Nothobranchius furzeri: one gene and its partners. The protein of the gene in region 1 binds, or shares a complex with, the protein of each later gene. Links are inferred from orthologs where the notes say so. Each region holds a gene or a part of one and is shown on either strand. Other genes may lie near its edges. The genes, in order: eif4a3, casc3 and upf3b.

What was found.
Region 2: the proteins of eif4a3 (region 1) and casc3 are in contact, whole or in part, in a crystal structure (PDB 2J0U), measured with the Homo sapiens proteins. The link is inferred for Nothobranchius furzeri from reciprocal best matches to the Homo sapiens genes EIF4A3 and CASC3. Residues at the interface, in NP_055555.1 of Homo sapiens: Thr178, Arg179, Lys198, Ile201, Tyr202, Tyr205, Arg206, Tyr207, Leu208, Pro209, Pro210, Thr212, Lys231, Phe232; in NP_031385.2 of Homo sapiens: Arg217, Trp218, Glu219, His220, Asp221, Lys222, Phe223, Glu225.
Region 3: eif4a3 (region 1) and upf3b share a complex: the UniProt entries of both Homo sapiens proteins name them as parts of the mRNA splicing-dependent exon junction complex. The link is inferred for Nothobranchius furzeri from reciprocal best matches to the Homo sapiens genes EIF4A3 and UPF3B.

The regions. Positions count from the first base shown.
Region 1 is NC_091746.1:29,297,896-29,305,111, reverse strand, and holds the start of eif4a3 (eukaryotic initiation factor 4A-III), read left to right. Parts: upstream 1-2,956; 5' UTR 2,957-3,070; coding exon 3,071-3,224; intron 3,225-4,078; coding exon 4,079-4,151; intron 4,152-4,226; coding exon 4,227-4,293; intron 4,294-4,507; coding exon 4,508-4,570; intron 4,571-4,651; coding exon 4,652-4,784; intron 4,785-6,675; coding exon 6,676-6,756; intron 6,757-6,851; coding exon 6,852-6,993; intron 6,994-7,073; coding exon 7,074-7,212; intron 7,213-7,216. Other genes in the region: serum response factor, read left to right, coding at 1-160, 244-323, 628-714. UniProt on the Homo sapiens protein: ATP-dependent RNA helicase. Involved in pre-mRNA splicing as component of the spliceosome. Core component of the splicing-dependent multiprotein exon junction complex (EJC) deposited at splice junctions on mRNAs.
Region 2 is NC_091746.1:33,207,683-33,214,878, reverse strand, and holds the start of casc3 (protein CASC3), read left to right. Parts: upstream 1-2,597; 5' UTR 2,598-2,640; coding exon 2,641-2,823; intron 2,824-4,169; coding exon 4,170-4,194; intron 4,195-4,281; coding exon 4,282-4,337; intron 4,338-4,514; coding exon 4,515-4,724; intron 4,725-6,736; coding exon 6,737-6,885; intron 6,886-6,955; coding exon 6,956-7,129; intron 7,130-7,196. Other genes in the region: serine/threonine-protein kinase WNK4, read left to right, coding at 92-94. UniProt on the Homo sapiens protein: Required for pre-mRNA splicing as component of the spliceosome. Core component of the splicing-dependent multiprotein exon junction complex (EJC) deposited at splice junctions on mRNAs.
Region 3 is NC_091741.1:85,712,203-85,719,418, forward strand, and holds upf3b (regulator of nonsense transcripts 3B), read left to right. Parts: upstream 1-2,891; 5' UTR 2,892-3,017; coding exon 3,018-3,128; intron 3,129-3,351; coding exon 3,352-3,458; intron 3,459-3,534; coding exon 3,535-3,641; intron 3,642-3,728; coding exon 3,729-3,827; intron 3,828-3,973; coding exon 3,974-4,084; intron 4,085-4,433; coding exon 4,434-4,477; intron 4,478-4,571; coding exon 4,572-4,760; intron 4,761-4,833; coding exon 4,834-4,985; intron 4,986-5,071; coding exon 5,072-5,378; intron 5,379-5,469; coding exon 5,470-5,613; 3' UTR 5,614-6,045; downstream 6,046-7,216. UniProt on the Homo sapiens protein: Involved in nonsense-mediated decay (NMD) of mRNAs containing premature stop codons by associating with the nuclear exon junction complex (EJC) and serving as link between the EJC core and NMD machinery.

The DNA of each region.
Region 1 (7,216 bases):
GTCTCCTCGTGTTCCTCCTCCTCCTCGGTAACGGGTCACATGATGTACCCTGGAGGTCACGCGGTGATGTACGCCACACCATCGTCCTCACTGACCGACGGCAGCCTCACCGTCCTCAACACCTTTCCCTCTACAGGCCACGCCCAGTCACATGACCCAGGTATGATGCAACGGAAAACGTTAAAGACAAATGTGTCCGCGTCAGAACGTTGGAGTCAACGCAATCCCGTTTTTGTGTTTTAGCCGTCATCCCGCAGGTTTTCCTCACCTCTCTGCCTCCTGTCGCTGCTCAGATCCCAGTCTCTGCCGTGCAGCTGCACCCGGTAACACACACACACACACACACACACACACACACACACACACACACACACACACACACACACACACACACACACACAATGTTTATTATTGTTTTAGTTTTTTATTGTTAAGCTTTACGTTTATCTGTTTTTATTGTTTCTTTTATTGTTGTTGTGTTATTTGTTGTTTACTGTAGTATGTCTTCTTTTGTTGTTGTTCGTTGTTTGTATTTGTTATTTTTGTGGTATCTGTTGTTTTGTTATTGTTTAGCTTTTGAATGAATTTGTTGTTTATGGTTTGTTTTGTTGTTTATTTGTTGTTTAGATGGTCATCAGCCAACAGAACAACAGCAGCAGCCTAGCGGAGCTGCAGGTTGTCAGTCTTGACGTCCACCAATCAAAGGACGATTGAGGGTCACATGACTTTCCCACCAGCCTTGTTGCTGATGGGCAGCAGAAGGTTCCAGCTCTTTATGACGCCACGTGGTCAGGTCACTCACCTGAGGACCAGGTCTAATCATGAGCCCCCGCCCCCTCGATGGGACTGAGAAGACAGGAAGTGGGAACCTGTTTTTCAAAGTTGAAGCCCCTGAGATGAGCCAGCTGTAGTCTCGGTGTTGTGATTTAGGTCTTTAGTTTTGTCAGGATTTAAACCTTTCCAGGTTTTCAGTGTTTGGTGTTCAGAAGCTTTCCAGACAACTCACCTGTTCAGGCTCTGCAGCGATGACCTCCAGCCTGATCTGCTGGACTGTGAGACGGGACTCGAACTAGACCCCGTTTACAGACCGCTGATGCTGCCTTTAAGGACACTCCGTTAACAAGAAACTGAAACTAGATCGCTAGACAGATGTGATGCTCAGCATTCACGTGTGTGTGTGTGGGGGGGGGGGGGGGGGGGTGTCTTCAATCAGGGATAACTGACAGGAAGTCATCTTCAGATTAAAACTCATCCTGTTCGTCGGACTCTACACGGATCCCAGTCCCATGGTCCAAATGAATGTTCTGCTGCATTTGCTGGTGTGGGCAGGGTTTCACAGACCTGACGACAGTCCTGGGACACGCAAACTCCACCAGCTGATGGATGAGGCACCAATCAGGATGGAGTCCTCACATCTGTGACATCTGTGTGTATTCCTGACTCTCTTGAAGACATCACTCCAGACCTATCCCTGTAAAGCCTTCAGGAATACTTCCTGCTGGATCTGGAGTGGGTAACTGGTTTGGGATTAAATGCCATCGCAGAAACTCTGAACAGTACTCGGTAGTCTGTACACAGGTTTCCTGACCACAGGCTGTAAACATGCATGTTATAGGTTAACCCTAGGTATGACTGGTTGTCTCTGTGTGTCCCTGTGATGGACTCGAGACCTGTCCAGGTGTCCCTAGCTTCTTGCCTGACATAACCTAAAACCCTAGTGAGGATCAAGCGGTCTGATAAACAAGTGTGCACCCTCTAAAGGGGGTTTGACTGTAGATTTGATGCTAAACATGAACCCTCTGGAGTTTCCTGAGCCTGACAACAAATGACTCGAGCACCTGTTGGAACTACGTCACATTTTTGTTGGACTGAAACATTGAACCACCTTTAAATAAAGAGTTTTGTGTTTAAACTGGATTTCTTTGATGGCTTCATGTTAATAACGCCTGTTATAGTGCAGATGGTTTTTAGAGAAGGTGCTAGCTGTTATTAAGGTTATATGACTGACTGGAAGGGATTTCCAAATCACTTATCTCTGCTGTTTGGTAAAAAAAAAAAAAAAACTAATAAAATGATTTTTTTCCACAAAGTTCAATGAATTCTTGTCAAGAGTTAGCCTCTACATAAACCGGTCTAGTTCTGGTAAGGACTGGATCAGAGGGAGTTTGGTTATTCCTGGTTCTGAGGCTTTGTCCGGTAACGTGTGTTTTGAGAGGAATGAGGCTCCAGACCAGATCTCAGATTTTTTTCCCACAGTTTTCTTTAAAAAATAGCTATGTGTCTAAACTGTTTTTATCATTTCTGAAATCACTCCTATTCTGATGTCGGCACTGGTTCGCTTTAGAATTCCTTTTATAATCCTGACCGTAACCTTCAGGGCTCTATGGTCAAGCTTCTCCCTATATTACTGAACCAGTAAGGCCATGTGCTCCAACCGAGCCCTCAGGTCTACAAACCAGAACCTTCTAGAAGTTTCAAAAACCAGGTCCAAGTGATGCCTTTTTCCAGGATGTTGTACCCTCGACTTTGGAATAAATGAACTTCCTAAATCTTGTGTTAGCAGTCTGGACACCTTTAAAAAGCAGCTAAAGACTAATTTAAAATAGCTTTTGATTAAACCTTTAGTTTTTCTTTTTTGTTTTAATGAACTTGCATTTGTTTTAAGATCTCTTGTTTTTAATGTTATTTATCTTTGTCTTTTAATTGTTTTAAATCTGTGGATAATTTAGTAATTTTTTAGGGGCTTAAAAAATAAACTACTTGTAAAAAAGTTTTTTTTTTAATTTCTTGTGATTCCAGAATTCATTTCCAGAACAAACTGCAGCCTGGTTTAAAAATCTCTGGATTATTTTAACCCTACACCAAAACCTCAGCTGTAAATAAAAGTCCATAAATATTATTATGACGCGCTTTTACAGCGGGAGACGCACAGCGCGTCGCCTGTTGAATACGTCACCACCAGGGCGACACGCGCGTGTGGCTATTGGCTATTAGCAGTTAGCAACGCCGCGCAGTGAACTGTTGATACCGGAGTCGGGAGGTTTTGACCGAACAAAAAGGCGCTAGGAAGATGGCTTCTGCCGGGACACAGGGCAGGAAGAGGCTCCTGAAAGAGGAGGACATGACCAAGGTGGAGTTCGAGACCAGTGAGGAGGTGGACGTCACTCCTACGTTCGACACGATGGGGCTCCGGGAGGATCTGCTTCGCGGGATTTACGCTTACGGTAGGCCGGGGATCGTACGGCCTCCAGAGGGAAGCTCGAGCCGCCCGTTGTTCGGTGTCGAGAAGTGGTTTGGATTAAAACGATTGTTTAGGGACATTTTTATGTTAGTTTCTGCTTATTTAACCATTTGTTGGTAGTTAGGGTCATACCGGTCTGATCTGGACCCGGACCCGGACCATCGGCGGATTTAGGAGTGAAGAAGCCCCGGGGCTTTATCCAACTGCGTGATGGAGGTTTTTAGCCTTTCCAAAACATTTTAGCTTTAAAAAAAAGTCATTAATCTATTCTAAACGTTCATATATATTGTTGGTCTGTGAACAGTTCTGAGAAAATAAACCTTCTGGATTAGTTTTTATTGTCTTTATGTGAAAGTCGAGTATTAAATTGCATTGTACAAATTAGGGATGCACCGTATGAAACTTTGGGCCAATATCGGATATAAATGATGCTATTATGGCCGATAATCCATCTCAACCACCTCACCCTCTCAGACTGATACTTAAAGTAGGGACTTGGACTTTTTTTTTTTTAAGTCGGCCCAGTTTAACTTATCAGACCGACATCGAAATGATAAAAAGTTACTAACATCAGCCGATACTGATGCTGATATATCGTGCATCCCTGCCTGGTGTAAATATTTTAATTGCTTCCCTGCTGCTGCTGTAACTGAGGCTTCAGCAAACTCCGATTCAACCACAGCTGAACCCAACGATCTGGTCATTTTTGAGTTAAAACAGCTGCTGCATAGAAAGTAAATCTCACTGATGGACCCGAGCAGAAGCACGATGGAGATGCGTGGAGTCGACAGATCTGGTGGACCTCCTGACTGATTCCAAGTCTTCGTTCTGTTTCAGGCTTTGAGAAGCCGTCAGCCATCCAGCAGAGAGCCATCAAACAGATCATCAAAGGGCGAGACGTCATCGCTCAGTAAGTAGTCCATGTCTGGTCTCACCACTGACCAGGTCCTGATGGGGTCTAACTGCTGGTCTCTGCTCCTCACAGATCTCAGTCTGGAACTGGAAAGACGGCCACCTTCTGTATCTCTGTGCTGCAGTGTCTAGACATCCAGGTGGGTGTTCAGCAGCAGCCAGAGCTGCGGTCACGAACCTGAACACCCACCACCCAGTAATCGGGGGTGTTGCAGGTTGCTCGACCCCAGGGTTGGGGTTAGACCTACTCATCTACCCGTGATCTTGTCTATAAAAACGTTTTTATTTGTTTTAAACTCAACTGTTCTCGGCTGAAACTGATGACATCATGCTGTGATGCGTTTCTTGTCACAGGTGAGGGAGACCCAGGCTCTGATTCTTGCTCCAACTCGAGAGTTGGCTGGGCAGATTCAGAAGGTAATCCTGTCCCTCCGTCACACCTGCCCTTGTTCTGGTGATGCGTGGCTGTTTCTGATTGGTTGCTCGTCTTCTGTCCAGGTGCTGCTGGCTCTGGGAGACTACATGAACGTCCAGTGTCACGCCTGCATCGGAGGGACCAATGTGGGAGAGGACATCCGTAAGCTGGACTATGGTCAGCACGTGGTGGCCGGCACTCCTGGCCGTGTGTTTGGTGAGTCCTCCTCCATCTGCATCATAAAGACATCACCTGTGACGTCATCGTAAATCTACCTGTTGGAACTTGTCGGACCTGTTCGGTTCCCATGGTGCTGTTGTGATAGGTGCTCAGTTATGAACTGACTCGTGGTGTTGGTGCAAGTATACGAATCCAACTTGCATCACGGCAGAATAAGTCAGACCAGATCCAGAACCTGGAAGTTATTGACCCCCCTCTCTTCTGTTCTGGTTCTGGACCTGAGTTGTGAGAGCTGTAATGTGAGTCCAGGAGATAGCCCAAGCCTATAGCTTGCCCCTTTAGCTTGGCCCAGTGCATTATGGGCTGTTTTGTCACATAGTGTCAGAAGTTAGGGATGCACCGATCAGGTTTTTTGCTGCCGATCACCGATACCGATCACCGATACCGATCACGTGGATTGGCCAGAAATTTTCTACAACATTATAATGAGTGCTACAAACTACATAATCTGGGAATAAAGGAAATGCAACCTAATCTAAAATGGTCTGTATTAGGGTTGTCACGGTGTGAAAATTTAACCTCACGGTTATTGTGACCAAAATTATCACGGTTTTCGGTATTATCGCGGTATTTTTTTTTAAACGTGCTACATTTTCACACAATTAAATAAACCCTGTATGTCAGGAAATATTGTCCTCAGTTTGTGTCTAAATTTTGCCTAAAATGTGTTATTTTGTAATTATGTTGTTTATTTGTTTACATTTTTCCCCTTTGGTCTTTAAAATACCAATATTTGCCCATAACTTCTTATTTTATGTCTGTTTGATGTCATCATTTTAAAAATATTAGACCAGATGATACTCAGTACTCAAGTAGACTTCTAATCAGATACTTTTTTACCCTTACTTGAGTAATAAACCCTATATCAGGAAAATATCGTCCTCGGTTCGTGTCCTTCCAGTGAGCTTTGCAGATGTGGGAAAATGTCATCAGGCAGTAATCGTTGTTAAATTCATAATTATTCTCGGAGAGAGACCAACTCTTATCTGCCCCTGGGAGCCCCGTAATGCATAGCGTCATTTCAACATGGCGGTGTCCGCGACACGGTTTATATGCAGGTAGCGGCGCTGCGGCTGCTTTATATAGCGACTCGTTGCGTTCTCCCTCAACCCAAATCCTCGGATCACACATTTGAGCTAAAACGCTAACGTTAGCTTGCCTTGCGTTGACTGTAGAGTTGTGGGTGATGGTCACGCAGATGTGTCATGAGATTTGAAGCGTTGCTGCCTTTCACAGACACTTTTTCTGCACGTGCTGCAAACAGGATAGCCGTCTTCCATAAACTCCCTCGGCATTCTTCAAATATCTAAAATATGCCCGTACTTCCGACTTTGTCTTCTTTGAGGGATAATAAATGTCCTCCTGAGCGCTGCCGTCTCCTCCTTTGACCATTATTTCAGCTTTAGCTTCAAGAAAGTTTCTTTGTAAACAAAGCGTGCGTCTGTGCCGCCGGCAACTTCAGCCGATGATACGGTGGCTGGTAAGGGTCACCGCGCCTACACCGCAGCCACGGTAAACCCATTGAGATAATAATAGTTTTTTTTAAAAACAAGACTGTTATTATTATTGTCAACCTTTTTTTTTTACCGGGGTTTACCGCTACACTGGTTACCGTGACAACTCTACCTGATCGGATTGCTTTGATCTATTTTGAAAATTCCGATCAAAACCGATAGGGGCGCTATCGGCCAATTACGATCAAATACCGATCCATCGGTGCATCCCTATCAGAAGTTCATTTAGACCCGGTCCGATCAGAACTGGGCACCTCATTGCGTCATGACCATGTGATCTGTTTTGCTGAATTGCTCCTGGCTGATTGGTCGATGATGTCAGAGTTGATATCTGACCGCTTGTCTCTTCGCAGATATGATTCGGCGCCGGAGTCTGAGAACCCGGGCCATCAAGATGCTGGTTCTGGATGAAGCAGATGAGATGCTGAACAAAGGTGAGGCTGAGCAGGTGGACCGCCTGGATGGACTTGGATCCACCTGGTGCTGGTCGCCAGGAGTCCCTCAGCACGTGTCCGTTTGTGCCTTTCAGGCTTCAAGGAGCAGATTTACGACGTGTACCGGTACCTGCCCCCGGCCACACAGGTGGTCCTGATCAGCGCCACGCTGCCGCACGAGATTCTGGAGATGACCAACAAGTTCATGACTGACCCGATCCGCATTCTGGTCAAACGGTGAGTCAAGAAACTCGTCGGGTCCAGGAGTTGGTTCAGAATGGAGCCGACGTTGGTAAAGTCCGCTGTCCTTCCCCCAGTGATGAGCTGACCCTGGAGGGCATCAAGCAGTTCTTTGTTGCCGTGGAGAGGGAGGAATGGAAGTTTGATACTCTGTGTGACCTCTACGACACGCTGACCATCACTCAGGCCGTCATCTTCTGTAACACCAAGAGAAAGGTCA
Region 2 (7,196 bases), about 3.9 Mb from region 1:
TTTCTTTCTTTCATTTTTTTTATACTCAAGGTGTTTAGTCACGCTGCTTTTACATTCATTAACAGTTTGACCTTTGACCTCTGTGTTGCAGTGAGGTGCTAAATTTTGACCTTCTGCACATGATGCCTGAAGAAGAGTACATTTCCTGTTTGAGACTGAAATCTATTTTGATGCCTCTTCTCCCTGAGAAAAAGATCGTCTCTGATGAGCGTCAGGTGAAACACCTTGAGGAGGAAACGGTCGTAGGACTTACAGACTCTGTAACATGTGAATAAACTAATTCTTACATTCAGCATCTTGAAGAGAATTTCTCAGTAAATTTCAGAGGGATGATTTATGTTATGAATGCTGACTGAGAGATGCCACTTTAATGATGATGAACTCATAAAGTTTTACTTTTTAAACCTGTTTGATGATGAGATGTATTCATTACAAGTTTTGTCAGAACCAAACTGTTGAAGTTCTGTTTATTTATTCTGCTGGAGTCAGATAAAGCCAACCAACTGATTGGTTATTTAGCAATGTTTAATTTAGTGATGTTTGATTTCTGTTTTGAGAGATGAGAGTCTGTGCAAAACAATAAAATAAATCATGTTTAGTTTTAAAAGTCTGAATCTGAAATGAGTCAACCACAATGAGATCAATTGACGATGAAATGGGTCAAGGTCAGCTGGATTTTCTGGGGTCTGACTCTTCTTTGACCCGTGAAACATATGGTAAATGGCCTGCTCTTGCATAGCACCTATCTAAGCCAGAGGACGCCAAAGCACACGCATACACATTCACACAGATTGAGATAAATAGCCACAGCTATTCTGGGGTTCGCTGAAAGAATTGAGGTTACGACCTGATAGGTGCCTACGGTCCCTCAGACTATCCAGGAGGCAAGGTAGGTGAAGCATATTGCCCAAATGGCCTGTTTTTGTATAATGCCTCGGTTCAACAACCCTCCAAGGCGCTTCACAACATAATCAGTCATGCCCCAATTCACACACTCATTCACACACACATTTACACACACATTTACATGCTGGTGGGGATGAGCTACAATGTAGCCACAGCTGCCTTGGAGCATTATCCCTTGTACTGCTTCGTTTTCACACGGAACAAGACCTCCCACACACATGCGCGTGCACCTGGCGCGCACACACACAGTCTGATGCGCAAAATACGGAATGCAGAAAATTAGCAAGGTGACAGATTGATACAGAATGTCATGCGTAAGTGACAATGTAAGTGTCCTGTCACTGTGACCCGATTGATCATGCGCCCTGGCTACTTGTACAAGGAAGATCTCTGTTTGGCTGACTGGTTAGCACGCATGACTTTCATCCGGGAGTCTGGGGATTGAATCCTGATCGGATCATTTTTTTAATATCCGCCACAGATCTCTCTGAAGAACTCAGCATTGACGGCTTCAGCAACGCTGTGCCACTGAGTGAATTTTCTCTTGTTTTACAAAAGCACTTCCTTTCATTTCTCCACCTCACCCACAGGTACCTGAATTTCTGCTTGTGAAAGAGCGCTTCCTTGATCTGCAGTCGTGATCGAAATGCTGCAACAGCTGGCTTATGTATATGCATAAGATTCACAAGGCACTTTGCATTGACTATTTATGGCAGTAAGTGGGCGTGGTGAGGGCGGGATGTGACTAAAATGCAGCTGAGAAACATTCTCATTATTCTCCAATTTATGAAGCGGAGATTGCGTGTAGCTGTGCGTACTCCATGTTTGATAGATCATAAACCTACTTGGCGTAAGTACATTTTTTTTTTGCTGAGCTTACGGTTTTAGTAAGGATTCTACGCAACGTTTGATAAATGAGACCCCTGGCCTTTTCTTCACCCTCTCTCTGTGCATAATTAAACAGAGGAAGAGTCTGGCAGGCCAGGCCAAGGGGCTTCTACCAGAAGTGAGCAAATCCTCATTGACTCCCATGTTAAAAATGCCATTTTCACAGCAGAAAAAAAAAACATGTTTACAGCCTGGTTAAAAAAATCACTTTAGGTTTAATAGATCTAGTTTACATTCATGACAACTCTGAGGGGGTGATTTTTTGTCACTCTTCTGTTTAAAGTGTAATTTAATGCTTAAAATTCTGAATAATTAATGAGCATCAGAGCCACGTGACTTCAGAGCACATGTTAATTGACAGTTCTGCATTCCTGACATTGCATAAAAGAGCCCCTTCTAGCCTGTAGTTTTATACATATTTTTAGCATACTTACCATAAAGACGACCCCCCCCCCCCCCCCCCCCCCACACACACACACACACACACACGCCACTATTTCAGTTTTTCAACTTACTTCCGATCTTTGGACGTTCTCTAGTTGGCATCTTCTTAGAAAATGAGGGCAACAATTTGATTCCCAGCAGTTTTTTGTAGGTTACATTGTTGATTTAACGTGCAGGTGTTCCAGATTATTCATACTTTTTTGTAACGGCTAATATGTGTAAAAATTGCTTTAGTTTATTCACGTACACGTTCAAATTAAAATAGTTATTACATCGTTGTTGTACTAATCATTTCCAGAGGGCGGCAGTAGACATCAAAGAGCTGGGAGAATTTGCTCTCCAAAAGAACACCATTACCCATAATGCGTTGCTTTTTCCGTTACTAACCATTCCAGTCCTAAGATGGCGGACCGGCGGCGAAGGAGGAGGCGCGCGTCTCAGGACAGCGAGGACGACGAGTCCGGTTCTGGTTCGGACAGCGGAAGGTCGGGTTCTCCCGTGACAAAGGCTCGAGGTCGAGATCCCGAACCAGTGGAGGTGACAGAGAGCCGGACCGAGGCGAAGAGCGACGTGGAGTCCGAGTGTGTGAGTAGCTACTCAGGCTAACTCCAGCAGCTAACGTTGGTCCGTCCATCACAAAGCTTGGAATTCGGGCTAAAAGTTCTGACTTATTCCGCTTCCAGAAAAACCTTAAGGCTCTCTAGAGGTACCATTAGGTTCGACGTGACTGTGGGTGATTAACTAGTTCATCAGTAAGGAGATGGGTTTTGTCGTTCATTCGTAGTTCGATGATCTGAGACGAAAAGGTGGCAGTTGAACCACATTTACTCGGGAACAAAATGTGACATAACACCGGCTCAGTCCCAACAGTCTCTCAGAACCGTTACTGGAGAATAGAGGATGGTTACCTGAGGTCCAAGTGGATTCTTCTGCCGAACCAAGAGCTAAAAGTCACCCTGATATTCGCCTGAGTCTGCGGCTCCACGCTGGACTTCAGACCCGTGGTGGTTCCATTACATCTAAAGACCCTGTTAGTTCTGATTAATCACAGATTAGCCCCAGTTGCACTAAGGGGCGTTACGACATAGATAAAATCTCGTAATCACAAATCAGAATACTCTGATTCAGAAGATGCGCGAGGCTGGATTCCCATGACTGAGTAGCTTCACCCAGGCAGTCATTGACCCTCACCCATCAGGGGACTGAGGGCTTGACATGTCTCAAGGCCTCAGTGTCCACTACATTTTATGTCATTGGGGTACCACCCTTTAGCTACAGGCCTTACTTGTTCATCTGCATTACACTTGGTTACATTAAGATAAAATGTGTCAAATGAATTATTTAGGGGTTGATTTCTAAATAATTGTTCGTGAGGACATTATCACTTCAAAATGTATTGGGGATAAACATGTTTTGATACCCAGGTCTCAACTAAAGAAGATTTTTACCATCAAGTAAAACGTGCTAACGAGAACACTTCTCGCTCTTTGTTAAATGAACTAGTGTCCTGATTAAAAAATATTTTCCATTATTGTCATCTGTGTTTGTATTTGAGCCAACAGTAATAAGGAGCCAAAGTCTCCTACTTGTTCGTTTGGTCCATGGGTCCCTGGAACAAATAAAAAAAGAATGCAAGTGAACGGGGCTTTAAAAGCTATGTTCTAATCTGCTTTGCAGTAAGCCCTGAATAACTTGTATGTTGTACTTGGAGTTAATTAAAAATGATTTGAGTTTCTTTCAACTGTCAGGTAATTTAAGATTTATTAGCTTGTTAAAATTCATAATTAAAATGATTACAAGTCAGACATCACATATGTCACTGTAAAATTATGAGGAACCTAGCATCCCCTTCACCAGGAAAGAGTCTATCCTGACACCTAAAGGCAGCCAGATTCTTCACGTTGTCATTTTGATCCTGTTTGTCATTGCAGGAGAGTGAAGATGGAGCCGGAGAAGGTAAGAGCCTCTCCTGGTTATCCAGCTCCACGTTAGATTTGTTGTTGGTGATTCCTGATTTTATGACTCTGGCTCTGTTTTGTTCAGCTGTCCTCTCAGATTATGACAGTGCTGATCCGGAGGAAAACCGCTCCCATTCAGAGGTAAATCCAGCCTAACACAACTCCCAGTTTCCTTCCCTCAGACAAGAACTGAGTCTGTTTTTGACTGTAGGATTGAAAAGACGTTCAGATTGGTCAAAGATCTGGCACAACAACCTAAGGATGCCAATTCAAAGACCAAACTGAAGAAGAGATGTTTCTGAAAAATTCTTTTTCCAGGGGGTAGAGGAGGAAGAGGAGGGTTACAGTGAAGAGGAAGCTCCAGCAGCAACCAGTGAGCCCAAACCTTCAGTTGCTGTCGACCCAAAACCGGAGGAGGTGGAAGAGGAAGAGAAGGCTGAGGAGGAAGCAGAAGGACACAGTAAGGAGGAGCCCAAGGGGGAGGACAAGGAAAACCTCACAGGAGAGAGGCAGAGTGGTGATGGACAGGTGAGACTCAGGAAATCCAGATGGATCTGGTCAGCAGGTTCTGATGCATAAACAGCTTTTTAGCTCTTTGTTGTCTTTTTGTCCATGTTCATTTGGCTCAGCTGCTCTGTTCCAGAGCTAGTCTGAGCTTCATTTGACATAATGGGAAGTTTTAAGAGGTGGTTATCATTTGGTTAAATTCTGATAAATTTCTGCACAATAAATAAAAAAATGGACCTATGTAAATTTTGTGTAATTATACATATTTCTGATATTTGTACAGCTTTGAGCAGCTGATATTAACTCATTCGCTGCCAGCTGTTTCCTGACCGATAAAGCCCTTCCCTGCCAGCGGTTTTTTTTTTGTGTGCCATTTTTACTGTTTTTTTAAGAGTCACAGAGCATTGCGCACTAGGATGATGATACCTCTTACAGCAGGAAGAATCCGTGCGTTTCGAGCTTTATCTGTTCTTTCATAATCCGTTATTGAATTGTGATCTGCAGAAGCTTTTCTGGTTCGCGCCACACTTTTTTTATTTTTTATTTATTTATTTATTTGTTTTACAGCAGTGGCCCAAAAGGACCTCCTAACACATGGATTTTCTGCTTCCTGGTCACTTGATGTGTGCCGTATGCAGATGAAGATTGGCTTTAGAGCTGAGATGTTTGTTCTCGCGGTGTGGGGACTCGTTCCTATGCCCACACAGTAAAAAAATGCAAATGGCAGTGAATGAGTTAAACTTGGCCAATTCCATCTTTTCTCTAAAGAACTGGAATCTACAGAATTATAGATGGCCCGATACAGGAATCTGTCTGATACTGTGTCCATCTAGCAGGACTCAGAAAATCCACTTTAGACGGCATTACGCTAAGTGTTACCAGGAGACAACGGCTAACTAAAAAAATGAATACAGTCAAAGTGGTTTTATTAGTGCTCCTCCGTGAGAGCAGGGGTGGGGTGGTTGCACATGTTCCGCTGCTGTTTCTCACCAGTATCAGCTGATGGAGGGCTCTAGTTTCATTGCGCCATTCGTGTCAGTGGACACAGTCAGGGAGGGGGGTGGAGCATGATGCTTAGTCTGGCGGCCCGCCAAGCAAAGCGCTGGGGGAAACCCTGGTGTAAAATTGTACTATAACAAGCTCAGTGAAACGGCAAAGTCACAAACAGTGATCTGCGTTATAGTGAGGAACCACTGCATGTATATTCTCTCATTAGGTGTAAGTTTCTTACCGGGCTGGCTCTTCTGCTGCATCAACTCCGAAATGTTTTGGTCTCAGATGTTCATTTAGAGAAATTGTATTTCCGTGCCATGCTAGATCGTTTTTGCATATCTTGCAGGTCACCCGTCTTTTCACGGCATCTAGAGTAAAGTGTTCCCATACTTTAGATGTTTTTGTTCTGGTTTTTTCTTCACTTTTATGGTTTCTGTTTTTCTCCTGTACCGTTTCATATTCCTCAGTGTGAGCATGCGCGTCAGCCATGTGTGTGGTACGTCATGAAAATCAAGGGTGCCTATTGGCTGATGCTTCTTCTGCTGCTCCACTGTTAGATCAGTGACTCATTACTGCCACACACTGGCTGCAAATTTAACAGCTTGTCTTAAAAATAGAAGACTTACAATAAAACGTGATTATAAAACAACTAGTCGAAGACTAAATAAGTTGTCAACTTTTCCAATAATTGATTATAGATTAGTTGTTTCAGCTCCCCTATACATACATATATATATATATATATATATATAGAGAGAGAGAGAGAGAGAGAGAGAGATAGTTATACATAGATATAAATAGATATAGAGATAGAGATATAGATAGATAGGTAGATATGTGTATATATATATATATATTTTTTTTAATTCTATTGCAAGTTTATATTTGTTTTTCCAGCTGCGAACCCAGCATTGAATCTTAACAGTCATCAAAAGGTATTACATTTCACTGTCAAACCTGGAGCTATCCGTTATAAGAATGTGTGAACTTTGGTAATGTTATTTCATGTTGAAGCAGAGTTATGGTAAAAACTTTTGCAGGAGTCCACCAATGGTCCAGAGACAAAGGCTGGAGGGAAACCAGGTCAGCAGCTTGATGATGATGAAGACAGGAAGAACCCTGCCTACATCCCAAGGAAGGGACTGTTTTTTGAGCATGATGTCCGCGGCCACACTCAGGAGGAAGAGAGGTGAGCTTATCTGGTACTGGTCCTATATCGGCTCTTTGGAGACCGGGTCTAACAAAATCTCTTCTTTCAGACCCAAAGGGCGAAATAGGAAGCTGTGGAAGGACGAGGGCCGCTGGGAACACGACAAGTTCAGGGAGGAGGAGCAGGCTCCAAAGAGCCGTGAGGAACTCATTGCTATTTACGGTTATGACATCCGGAATGGTGGCGGTTCTGGAGACCGAGCGTACAGACAGCGTAGACCCAGGTGAGTGCCGCTGTGCAGGTCTAACGGAAACCTATTGTAGGTTGACTTAAACCACTTTCACATCTGT
Region 3 (7,216 bases), on another chromosome or scaffold:
GGCGCCTCAGGAGAGGAAGGCAGCAACTCGCTCACACTGTTTACAGTGGGGATGGGGAGCTGCTGACGTCAAGTGAGGCTATAGTCGGACGGTGGAAGGAATACTTTGAGGAGCTCCTCAATCCCACCAATGCGCATTCCGAGGAGGAACCAGAGCTGGGAGGCCTGGGGATGGACTGTCCGATCTCGGGGGCAGAAGTTGCTGAGGTAGTCAAACAACTACACAGCGGCGGAGCCCCGGGGGCGGATGAGGTTCGTCCTGGGTATCTTAAGGCTATGGATGTTGTAGGGCTGTCATGGTTGACACGTCTCTACAACATTGCGTGGTCATCGGGGGCAGTTCCTAGGGAGTGGCAGACCGGGGTGGTGGTCCCCATCTTTAAGAAGGGTGACCTGAGGGTGTGTTCCAACTATAGGGGGATCACACTCCTCAGCCTCCCTGGAAAGGTCTACTCCAAGGTACTGGAGAGGAGGGTCCGATCGATAGTTGAATCTCAGATAGAGGAGGAGCAATGTGGTTTTCGTCCTGGCCGTGGAACTGTGGACCAGCTCTATACCCTTGCAAGGGTGATGGAGGGGCCATGGGAGTTTGCCCAACCAATCCACATGTGCTTTGTGGATTTGGAGAAGGCTTATGACCGTGTCCCCAGGGGCACCCTGTGGGGGACGCTCCAGGAGTATGGGGTGGGTGGCTTTCTGTTAAGGGCCATTCAGTCCCTTTACCAGAGGAGCGTGAGTTTGGTCCGCATAGCCGGTAGTAAGTCGGACCTGTTCCCAGTGAGGGTTGGACTCCGCCAGGGCTGCCCTTTGTCACCGGTTCTGTTCATCACTTTTATGGACAGAATTTCTAGACGCAGCCGAGGTGTGGAGTGTGTCGAGTTTGGTGGCAGGAGAATCTCGTCTCTGCTTTTTGCGGATGATGTGGTCCTCCTAGCTTCATCCAGCTCTGACCTTCAGCTCTTGCTGGGTAGATTCGCAGCCGAATGTGAAGCGGCTGGGATGAGGATCAGCACCTCCAAATCTGAGACCATGGTTCTCGACCGGAAAAGGGTGGCTTGCCACCTCCGGGTCGGGGGAGAGGTCCTACCTCAAGTGGAGGAGTTTAAGTATCTCGGGGTCTTGTTCACGAGTGAGGGTAGGAGGGATCGGGAGATCGACAGGCGGATTGGTTCGGCGTCTGCAGTGATGCGGACGCTGAGCCGATCTGTCGTGGGGAAGAGGGAGCTGAGCCAGAAAGCCAGGCTCTCGATTTACCGGTCGATCTACGTCCCAATCCTCACCTATGGTCATGAGCTTTGGGTAATGACCGAAAGAACGAGATTGCGGATACAAGCGGCCGAAATGAGTTTCCTCCGTAGGGTGGCCGGGCTCAGCCTTAGAGATAGGGTGAGGAGCTCGGACATTCGGGAGGGACTCGGAGTAGAACCGCTGCTCCTCCGGATCGAAAGGAGCCAGTTGAGGTGGTTTGGGCATCTGGTCAGGATGCCTCCTGGACGCCTCCCCGGGGAGGTGTTTCGGGCATGTCCTGCCGGTAGAAGGCCCCCGAGTCGACCCAGGACACGTTGGAGAGGTTACATCTCCAATCTGGTCCGGGAACGCCTTGGGGTCCTGCCGGAGGAGCTGGTGGACAAGGCCGGGGAGAGGACGGCCTGGAGCTCCCTAGTTGGGATGCTGCCCCCGCGACCCGGACCCGGATAAGCGGAGGAAGACGACGACGACAACTTTCAATGCTCTACATGGTCAAGCTCCGCCCTATATTACTGAACTGTTAAAGCCTTATGCTCCAATCCGAGCCCTCAGGTCCACTCACCAGAACGTTCCAGATGTTCCAAAGACCAGATATAAAAGTCGAGGGGATAGCTCCTTCCAGACTGTTGCACCCCGACTCTGGAATGATCTTCCTTTATCTTTATGTAGCATTGACAGTTTAGACACTTTTAAAAAAACAGCTAAAGACCCTTTTATTTAAAGCTACTTTTACCTAAATCTTTTATTTTCTTATTTTTAACTCAAAATTAGAAATCATCTTTCATCTGTTTTATGGTATTTTATCATTTAATGACTTAACTTTTCTGTTTTAATCTTTTTTTAAGATCATTATGATTTTATGACTTTATGATTTGTTTTGTTTTGATCTATGTGAAGCACTGTGGTTTTCTGTCTTTGATGAGTGCTATATAAATAAATTTACTTACTTACTTTACTAGATGATGGATGGATGGATGGATGGATGGATGGATGGATGGATGGATGGATGGATGGATGGATGGATGGATGGATGGATGGATGGATGGATGGATGGATGGATGGATGGATGGATGGATGGATGGATGGATGGATGGATGGATAGATAGATAGATAGATAGATAGATAGATAGATAGATAGATAGATAGATAGATAGATAGATAGATAGATAGATAGATAGATAGATAGATAGATAGATAGAGTAACTTTATAAACAGATAAAGATACAATTTGGTAATACTATTAAAAGATAAATAAAATAAAAGTATCATCCATCCACTCTCTATACCTGTTAGTCCATGCAGGGTCGTGGGATAAACGTATCACAAAATACATTAATCAAATACATAAAAGTAACGAACAAGGAAAATTTGAAACACAAATAGGGAAACAATGCAATGTTTCCAATAAAAAGATGTCTAGTGTCACTAAGTGGACAGTAGACATATCTCAATCTTAACTTTACATCAGACTTAACCCTAGCTCTACAAAAAAATTTACTATAGAAAAATATTTTAGAATGGACATTAACAAAAATATAATTACCAGTAATTACCGAAAATAGTAATTACCAAAAACATTTTTTTTTAAATGTGTAATTGCTTTGTATTTAGCGCCACCTCCTGGTAAAAACTTGTAAATGCAGCTTCAGTAGTCAGAAAGGAAGTTTCGAGCGGTTAGTATCTAGCTGCTAGCTGGCTAACTCTCTGAAAAGTAAACAAGTCTGTTGAGTGAGATGAGAGCAGGCTGTGGATCTCTGTAGACGTTCAGCTATGAAAGAAGACAAAGAAAACACTCGACCGAAGGAGAAAAAAGTGGAGCTAAAGTGTGAAGATGGAGAAAAGACTGAGAAGTCAAAAGAAAAGAAAGAGGCCATGACAAAGGTAAAACTTGCTAGCTAAAGCAGCTAATGTTGCTACAGACGTCAGTTTTGGATTCGTGTAGTTCTATTAAATAAAAGCATGGTTTAACTTTTTTGTTTTGTTTTTGTTTTCAGATAAAATGTTCTACGATTGAAATTATACATTTAAAGACTGGACCAAAATTTCATTTTACAAAGCCCTGCTTAGTAATTAAGGTAGTGAACTTTTTACAATGTGTTCGTAGATTGTAATCAGACGATTACCACCAAGTCTGTCTAAAGAGGAGTTAGAGGAGCAGCTGCAGCCTCTCCCAGAGGTGGACTACATGGAGTTTTTCTCAAACGACACCAGGTGAGTTCACCTGTAAAATGACTGTTAGCATTTCCTTCATTGTGTTGGTCTAACATGGCACTTCCGGTCATTTTAGCCTGTATCCCCATCTCTTCGCGAGGGCTTACATCAGTTTCAAAAATGAAGATGATATTGTTCTCTTCAGAGATCGATTCGATGGATATGTGTTCATAGACAACAGAGGTATCAAGAACACACACCCAGTTTTCTGTGAAGTGTTCCAGAGCGTTGACCTGAGACTGTCCTTGTTTATGTTTGGCCATTCAACAGGACAGGAGTATCCAGCCATTGTGGAGTTTGCGCCGTTTCAAAAGATAGCCAAGAAAAGAAGTAAGAAGAAGGACTCGAAGTGTGGAACAATTACTGAAGGCAAGGGTTTAAACTGTCTGGTGGTTTTGATCTTCTCTGTTATAAAAAGAAATAAGCTTGAAGAAACTCCATGTTCGTCCCTAACATATCTATTTTGAGATCTATCTATAAAAATCTATAGCTCAGCATGTTTGTGTTTTTATCAGATCCTGATTATAAAAAATTTCTTGAATATTACAACGGAGACGAAGAGAAGCTGACATCTACGCCTGAGACCTTGTTGGAGGAGATCGAGGCCAGATCAAAAGAACTTGAAGGTTTGTTTATGACAGCACCGTTATCACTTGCTGTGTTTGTCTTCAAATTCCATTTTTGGTTCTTTTTTTAAACACAGATAAGGTTTTTCTTTACCTTGCTGACGTTTCGTTTACGGCTGCAAACATCTTCAGAGCTGCCGCTGATGTGGATGTGTAGGAAGTGACGCCACCATCAGCGTCAGCTCTGAAGATGTTTGCAGCCGTAAACGAAACGTCAGCAAGGTAAAGAAAAACCTTATCTGTGTTTAAAAAAGAACCAAAAATGGGACTGTTATAACTGCTTGTATGTAAACAGGAGCATTGCATTTGACAAGATTTCTTATTGTGGGTTTCTTCCCCTTTCTTTTAGCTAAAAAGACCACGCCCTTGTTGGACTACCTGAAGAATAAACAGGTAAGCATGTGGTAATCGTTTTTTGGTGTTTAGGATAAATTGGTTCAACTGCATGTTAGCAAGAATCCATCAAACTTTCTATTTTAACTTTCAGAGAATCAGGGAGGAAAAGAGAGAGGAGAGACGAAGGAGGGAGCTTGAACGCAAGCGCCTGCGTGACGAAGAGCGTCGCAAGTGGAGGGAGGAGGAGAGGAGAAAACGGAAAGAGGCTGAGAAGATGAAAAGACTTGAGAAACTGCCGGAGAAAGACAAGGACCACGTTAAGGAAGAACCAAAAATTAAGGTTCGTGCAGTGAAAAAAAAAAATGCATCTGTCAATTTCAAGTTTCTCATGATGATTGTGTCTTTATATTCAGCTCCTGAAGAAACCAGATAGAAATGATGAAGCAGAGTCTGAAAAGCCTAAAGAGAAGTCCAAGAAACCAGAGAAGCCACATAAAGAGGTCCGGTCATTCAGTGATCTGAAGAGGAGACATAACATCGAGAACAAGGAGGATCGTGAAAGAAAGTCAGTTCTTGTTCTTTTTTTCCTGGCATTTTGCACTTTTGTTTGTACATTTAACTGATTTAACTCCAGCTGTGATTTCCTTTTAGAAGAGATGAAAGTGGGAGAAAGGAATTCAGGGAGCGGGACTTTGATCGAGACAGAGAGCGGGAGGAGCGGCGGCAGAGGGAAAAGGAGCGCTTCAGACGGCAGGACGAGGAAAGACGGAGGAGGAGGGAGCAGCATGATGGAGAGAACACGTTCAGGAAGCGGGAAGAGGAGATTAAAAAAGAAAAGGCGTTGGAGAAGAAGAGGAATGAAAACATGGCAGATTCCCCTCGCGGTGAGAAAACGGAGAAGGCTGCCAAAGAGAACAAAAAGGATGAGAGCAGCAAAAGGGAGCGACTGCGGAATAAGGTACGGACTCCAGTTATTTCTCACACTTGTGCCAAATAATTTCTGAGTTTGTTTTCCTTTTGTAATATTTTATTTATATTATTTGCAACAGGACCGACCCGCCATTCAGCTTTACCAGCCAGGGGCCCGGAGCCGCCACCGTGCCACACCAGGAGCAGACAGAAGAGAATCCAACTCTGCCGACAGAAAACCAGATACTGAGAGCAAGAACGTGGCTGAGAAAGTAGACGACTGAGCAGACCTCTGCTTTTGTTCATTTGAGTTAGGTGAAGAGACAGGCCTGCGAGCAGCAGTATGGCGTCTCGGAGCCACGCGCTCCACTGATTAAGCAGGGCTCCCAGTTTCGGAGGCAGAGGTGTGATCCTCTTTGGTCTGTGTTAGGAGAAGAAACGATTCACCTTCTGAAGGAGTTTGGCTGTAGGGCACATTCAAGGAAGCCAAAGTTTTGGGGACCATGTGATGTCAAAGTGAACTTAATTCAGCATTATCGCTTTGGAGGAAAAGTGTTTTACACTCTGCAAAAAAGGTGCCTTCACGCTCGTTATCTAAATCACTCTAAAATAAATTTATAATGTTCACTATGTCAACACGTGGTTTCTTCAAGGTGATTTCTGGATTTTTCTTGTGAGATATTTAATAGTTTGAGATAAAGTACCTATGCATCATAAACTGATCTGGTCTGGGATTCTGTGGTATGCTTGTTACTATGGAAACCTGGAGGAGAATTAGCCATTTCTAAGTAGACTGCCACGTGACCGCATGTATATAAACAATCAGTGATAAACATGTGGCCTTATCCCTTTTTTATTACTAATATGTCATTAAAGGTGATACTGATAAAGAGGCTACATTTCTGACTAAAAAGTCTTTGCAAAAGTTGATTTTTCTACTTTTTTGCGTCGTATATTTGACGTTGTGTTCCCGGAGATAGCAAGCTTCGTTTTCATGCAAAGCTGCTTGTAGTTATTATTTTAATAAAAACTTCATTATAATAAACTCCTTCAATTGTAGAACAGCTTTCAGAAAACGAGGGCACACTCCAGCACCCTATAAATCAAAAATACCTGACTATTTCTACAGTGATGTGTACACCCGCCCACTCCTCGGCCGATGCAGTTGCTGCATGCGAGCAGTTACAACGTTTTGTGGAGAAGCTCCAGACGGCTCACCCAGAGGCACTCATTCTCATCAGTGGGAATTTTAATCACACCTCGGTTTCCTCCACTCTCCCCACCTTTACCAAATATTTGAAGTGCCACACCAGAGACAGTAAGACAATTGATCTCCTGCACGCTAATGTGACAAAACACACACACTTCCACCTTCCGTTCGGCTGCTCAGATCACAACCTCATTCATCTGATCCCTGAATACATACCCAGGGCAATTAGGGCACCTCCTCAGTGAACAATCGTGAGAGTGTGGACTGAGGGAGCAACAGAAAGGCTGAAGGACTCTACACCACAGACTGGGAGACACTTTGCAGCGCTCATGGCGATGGCCTTGACAGCCTGACACACTGCGTAGAGAACACCGTCCGAACACGAAGAATGAGGTGTTTCTGGAACAATAAACCCTGGTCGACCCCTGAGCTGAAATACATGCTGAACGATGGCTGAAGATAAAGAGGAGCAGAGACGAGTCCAAAAGGAGCTTAGATGGGTCAGATCAGATGGGGGAAGGTTTTTTTTTTCAAGAAGAAGCTGGAGCAGAACACGGTGCATGGAGAGGTCTCAGGGACATCACAGGACACAGTGGGAGGAGTGGTGCCAGTGAATCTGCTGAAAGGGACCAGAACTGGGCCGATGAGCTTAACCTGTTTTTTAACAGATTTGATGA